2 separate regions of the Mus musculus genome follow, and region 2 is reported to be linked to region 1. The links are microRNA targets in miRTarBase. Many come from high-throughput screens and were not tested one by one. Region 1 holds a microRNA gene; the other region holds the end of a gene's coding sequence.

What was found. The annotated mature microRNA mmu-miR-30e-5p reads UGUAAACAUCCUUGACUGGAAG and lies in region 1 at 1,684-1,705, opposite strand. An mRNA with a match to its seed (bases 2 to 7 or 8) in the 3' UTR can be bound and repressed. Matches are read on the target gene's strand: a 7mer-m8 pairs with bases 2 to 8, a 7mer-A1 pairs with bases 2 to 7 and ends in A, and an 8mer does both.
Region 2: miRTarBase lists Lrrc55 as a target of mmu-miR-30e-5p. Seed matches in the 3' UTR shown: 7mer-m8 at 2,822-2,828.

What each region holds. Positions count from the first base shown.
Region 1 is chr4:120,770,977-120,774,196 of GRCm38, forward strand. It overlaps Mir30e (microRNA 30e), which reads right to left and starts at 1,721; the gene lies at 1,630-1,721. It overlaps Nfyc (nuclear transcription factor-Y gamma), which reads right to left. Exons shown (of 10, transcript NM_008692.4): 5 at 2,696-2,791. Mir30f (microRNA 30f) reads left to right here and starts at 1,630; the gene lies at 1,630-1,721.
Region 2 is chr2:85,189,253-85,192,252 of GRCm38, reverse strand. It overlaps Lrrc55 (leucine rich repeat containing 55), which reads left to right. Exons shown (of 3, transcript NM_001033346.4): 3 at 108-3,000. The coding sequence ends at 343. Among named protein-coding and RNA genes, the nearest start is that of Lrrc55, 8.0 kb to the left of the region's middle.

The sequences.
Region 1 (3,220 bases):
GTTGTCAGGACAAGCATGGCTATTTTCAAATTGCTGTGATGGAAGGAGGCACAAGTAAGGTTCTTCTGCTTTATGAAGCACTCATTCTGCAAATGGAGATCAAGCCAGCAGGAAATGATGATGCTTGATTTAAAGAAATGGGTGAAAAGATAATGACATTTCAATGAGCAAGGAACTTTCAACTCATAGCTTAGTCGGGGAGAAGTCAACCCTCAACTACCATCTACTTGCAGACAATCTACTTACTTCCATGGCAAAAAAGAGAGAGGGAGACTCCAAATCATCTCTGAGAAGCCTCATAATCCAGTGTCTCCCTTTCCAGATGGATCAGCACCAAGCCCTAGGAAAACACCTGACCGAATAGGTCAGTACAGAAAGGTACCTGCTCCATGCTAACACTCAGTACAGAAGGGTACCTGCTCCACACTAACAGTGGCTTCTCCAGTGCTGAGACTGAAAAACAGTGACAGTGAACAAACAGTATCACAGCACAGGGTCATCACTACACTGATGAGCAGCCAGCTCCAGACTAGGGGAAAAAATACATTTGCTTTAGTGGCAGGGTGAACTGCTGCCTCCTTCAGAGGGTGTGTTTTGGAGAGTAGGCACTTTTAAAGGACTTTAGGAGGTGCCAGCCAATTTGGAGCTTGGGAAAACTTCATGTCTACAGAGAATTAAAAAATGCTATCTTAGAATTTCAGGCCAGCTTTCAGCAATCTCAACCTTTTAAATGCCAGGCAGCAGCTGTCCTGAATAGGATGCCAATCAATAGCTCAAACACCTACAAAGAACTAAAACCAGGCAGCTAAAGGAGTGTTCTTGCTGTATACCTTTTAAAGGGAGATGGACTAAGTATAGTGGTCCATGCCTTGAATCCCAGCACTCAGGAGGCAGAAGCAGATAGATCTCTCCGAGTTCCAGAACAACCTGGTCTACACAGTCTAGTCTAGCCAGGGATACACAGGGAGAGCCTATCTCAAAAATCCAAACCAAACCAAAGAACAAAAGAGGGAGATGGGGTAGACCACCAGCAAATCTAACACCCTGACAGACCCAGAAGAACAAACAACTTTGGAGGAAGGTATAGGTCAGCAGCTCTCAACCTGTGGGTTGTGACCCCTTTGTGGGATGGAAAGATCCTTTCACATGGATCACCTAAGACTACTGAAAAACAGATAGTTGCATTAAAATTCATAACAGTAGCAAATTACAGTTATGAAATAGCAATGAAAAAAATTTTATTGTTGGGAGGTTATTACAACATGAGGAACTGTATTAAATGGTGCAGCATTAGGAAGGCTGAGAACCACTGGTATAGGATAATAACTTTCTCTTTAGTCATCTATTCAGCAGGCAGCCCATAGTGAACAATCAGTACAATAAGAGCAATGCCTGACTGCATCACAGATCTTACCACCTTGTCTTTAAAGGAAACTCCTGGTGGATACATGGGAGCAAAAATCCAATAAGGAAAACAGGCTCATGGTATTATCAGCTCCAAACGAAGAGAGACAGTCTGAGTTCTTGTGACTTCTCAGAGAGAAAGGAAGTAACCCAAGAAAAGGAGACAAGTTCATGGGCACAAACCTGCAATGTCTCAAAGCCGATGAGCGCAGCCGGGGACGACTGTGGCAGCCTGCCGCTGTAAACATCCGACTGAAAGCTCCTCTCAACACCTTACAGCTTCCAGTCAAGGATGTTTACAGTAGCAAAGACTGCCCAGAAAAATAAAGAGCTTCAGTGAGGCACAACCTGCTCCCATAAGGAGGTGACCCAGGGCTTGCTAACCCAAAAACCCTCATGCAGGGTCAGAATTAATGTCAATTAGGATGCCCACTTCTCCAACAGGTTTTCTGACTGGTTATTTGTACAGGTCAACATGGGGAGAATGGTTGTCATTAAATGACTCTAAACAGTATACTACAAAATAATTAGTTAAAAACACTTATATTTTATGAACAAAAATAAAACAAGCAGGACATGGTATGGCTTTACTTCTCTGAGGCATATTACACTAAACCTAGTGAATCATGCAAACTGCGTGCCTGAAACAATGAGCTCTATAGGACTGGGGTCTATCACAATCACAACTAAGTTATATGCACCCAAGTGCTGAACAAAACAAATGGTGTGATCTTTGGAGATGAACAGGCAGAAGAAGGGCAGACACTTAGTTCTTGTAATTAAAAAGAAAAATGTAAATGGTGGTTCTAAAACTTCACTGGACACCAAAGCATCTAGGGAACTTTAATTATTGATTCCTGGGGTCATGGGGTCATAGGTTCTGACTCAGTGGATGATGGGTAGAGTCATCACACTACAGAGACACAGCATAGAGTAAGAAAATAAAAGCCACTGGCTCCAATCTGATCACTATGCACAAAGAGGTTGTTTCTTAGAATCTGAAAACTGACTGGCTGAAAAAGCTTTTATTTTAGATGAAGAAATCCTGAACTGAGCTTCACCCCACTATCTGTGACTAGTCTTTTTAACTTTGTTCTCTCACTGCAACCCCACCCCAGAGGCACTGAGTTAAAAGTACCCATAAATGAGTAGAAGGAGATGCTGAGGATGATCTGGACTACGGAAGAGAACCACAAACAAGAAATGCTTTGGGTGGGAGGGAGGGAGGAGCTCCGGAGAGCATCTTGCCCAGGCCCTGGAGGTGGCAGCTGAGCAAATCCTCCCAGCTCACCTGGCGCTTTGGAGGTTTCAGTTCATCTCTTGGAACAATATCGATGAGAAAGTCGAACTGATCAAATTTTGTAATTGCCATGGCAATATCATTCCTCTGTAACAAAGAAAAACAAAGTTAAAAACTGGCCTAGGAAGAATCTAGTTCTTTTGGCTGTTATCCTTCAAGTAAAAGGACATGATCCTCTCCTATCCCCTAGTCCCAGTGTCTGGGATTAAACCTAGAGCTTTACACAAGCTAGACAGGTATTCTACCATTGAGCTATGCCCCAGCCCAAGGAGATGACTTTTAGACTGTACTAAAAATCTCTAGGTTTGTCTAGAGCTAAAAATAAGAACAGCTCAATTTATATCAGACTTGCTGGACAGAAATCAACGAAAGAGATACACATATCTCGTGCTCTAGGCCAGGACATCTGAGCCCTACTCACCACTATTTCTGCTTGTTCTGGTTTCAAAGCTTCCATAAAGTTGTAAAACCACCATCCTCTGGCTAATTCAGGACAAAGCCAGCAGTCTCAACTGG
Region 2 (3,000 bases), not on the chromosome of region 1:
GGCACATAGAAAAGACTCAGCAACTCTCTGGAAGCAGGTTAGTGGGAGGCTTTTCCATCCCGTCCTCTCCCACAGAAGTCTCACCCTAACCCATTTCTGTGTTGCAGATTCTCAGCTTGCTGAGTGTCGGGGACCCCCTGAAGTTGAGGGTGCCCCCCTCTTTTCACTCACTGAAGAGAGCTTCAAGGCCTGCCACCTGACTCTGACCCTGGATGATTACCTCTTCATCGCATTTGTGGGCTTTGTGGTCTCCATCGCTTCTGTAGCCACCAACTTCCTCCTGGGCATCACGGCCAACTGTTGTCACCGTTGGAGCAAGGCTAATGAAGAAGAAGAGATTTGACACAGGTGCCTCTCATCCCTCCATGCTGCTGCCACTGCTGCTGACCGCTGGACACCCTGTATCACGGTGCCCTGGCCATCTCCATCATAGCTCAAACAAGGTTGGAAAGCTAACTTTGTATGAGCATCCATCCACTTTGGGCCAGGCACTGTGCTAGCAACTGAGAATGAAAGACAAATTCAATCCGGTTCCTGCCCTTGAGGTACTTACTTCTAATAAAGGAAAACAATTCCAAAACATCCTCTTATGACAAAATGCCAATACTCTGAGCATAGAGTGAGGGAAGCCAAGCGGAGGGTCCATCATCTGTGCCTCACAAAGTCCAAGAAGAATTGCAGGAATTATCTGCTAAGTAGATAGGGAAGGGTGGACATAGCAAATGATAGGACCTTGTATGCAGGTCGTGTTAAGAGCAGCAGACCTTGTGGCCTAAGTACATAGAAGAAGTAGGTGCAAAAGTAAATCTCTCCCTCTGACACCCAATTTTTCAGTTCCCACTGCTGCCTGCCACTGCCCTCTAGGAGTGAGATAGCCTCCATGCCAGACACCTTGACCTTCTCCCATTAGCAGAAAGGGGAGTGAAAGGACCTCCCAGCGACTTCCCAATTGTAGTCTAGTTGTGAAGTAATCACCCTCAGCACCCTTCCTCCTCTCCCTGTCTCTGCTTCTGACTTAAGCCTTGTCTTCAAAGAAAAGGCAGGAAGCCTCACAAGGAGGCAGCAAAAGTCTTGGCACCCTGGGACCCCAATTTATGTGACTGTTCTTTCCATGGTGCTCACACCAAAGGAACTCACCAGGAAAGTGCACTGTAGGGTGCAGATCCTAGCATGGCAGTAACCGGGGCAGGAGGACAAAGCCACCACATTCATCCCCACAGGACGGTATGTCTTCTCTCCTTAGTAACTTGTTCATTGGAGCATAAAGAAAGAATAGCTATTAATTGCTGGTTCTTGCTAGTGTCGGGCAGTATAAGCTCCCTCCTCCGACATTCCTTTCACACATACAACAGCCCTTTGGGGGGATTTATTGTTCCCATTTGGCAGATAAGGTCATCAGGCTCAGAGAAGGTAGCATGCCTGCTATGTCATGTTCAAGATAAAATCAGTATTCTTCATCACAGTTCTTTCTAAAGCTATGAAAATTCAAGTTCAAGCCACACTAATGAAGTTGCCGATAAGGACCAGGCACTCCTCTGGGCATGGTTCTATTTGCTGATTCATCTCTTGCTATTCTTACTGCCAGATAGTCTTTATCATTCCCACTTTCCAGTTGAATTCATTGTGGAGAGCTGGGATGCTTATCCAAATTATCTGCATGAACAAAGAGTATGACAGGTGACTCCTCTGAGGAAATATGAATCTAATCAGTTAGAAGCCAAGGACTCTGTGGGAAACACAATGCTCACCGTCTTTGTCATCATCTTCATTTTCCTCATCCATGTCACCTGCTTCATCATGATCTTCCCTGTCTCCTTGGGCACTGGAAAGTCTAGGATGCTTCTTTTGTATTCTCTTCCTGTGTGGGAACCAAATCAAGATGATGTCCTGGAGAATGGAAAGTAGAGGCTAAAGGTTGGGTATGCCTTCAGCCTAAGACTAGACTCAGTTCTGTCAGGGTTCTCTTTCCAGTGCTTCCTCGGGTACCTGATGGAAGAGAATGTCCTGGAAGCCTGCATAGCAGGACCCCAGAATTCAGCACTCATCATAACAATAATAATCACAAAAACCAATAAAAGGCAGCAGTAAAGCCCAGCTGTGCACAGACTATGCTCCCAGTGGGGCAACTCCAGCCTCTGAAACAGAGGCACCACAAGTGACATCTAAACAGAAGACGCCACCTTAACAGTATATGAGCACATCATTAGAACTAGTGGCTGTGATGTCTTTTTTTTTTTTAATCAGATCTTTGGAAAACAGGAGATGTACCTCTACTGTGTTGTGTTGCAAGAGAAACTGAAGGATCTGAGAAAATGATAGGTGAGAACCCCTGAACAGGAGATGGGGAGATCCATCTGGGTAGTCCCAGTCCTGTTAGCAAGGCTGGCTTGGTAAGAAAATGAAACAAGAGCTTTCTATCTTGGCTCCAACCCTGGCAAGCATCCATCATACACCCTGCCACCCAGCTGACTTACAATGCATGGAGAAGGGGAACGTGTCGTAATCCAACTCATCTGCATTGATCTAATCAGCCAAAACAGACCCTGGAAGCTTTCCCCCCCACCCCCACTCTTGCTTTCAATGCCTAGGCCACAGCTCTGCTCCTATAAAATATGACATAGAACTATGCCCTGCTCTCCCTGACCACTCAACTGTGGCCAACAATGGTAGACTCTAGCTAGTCTCCATAAGCTAAGCTTCTTGCCTAAAGTGTTTTTGGAAAGGAACTTTTAGAAATAGTATTCCTGATTTTAAAAAAAAAATCATTTAACTTTCCTTAGAAGAACATCATGCTCACTGATAGTAATCTCCTGGACACCACTGTTTACTGAATTATAGTTACCATATTTTAAGATCTACTACTCTGTTTTACATAGAATTAGAACAAGACAAGACACCAAATGCCTCTTGAGATCAAGTGTTCTTTTGAGTGGCACAATTTGATCTCCATTAATGGCGAAGACTTCTAAGCAAGCTATATCAAGACAATGTTTCTCCAGC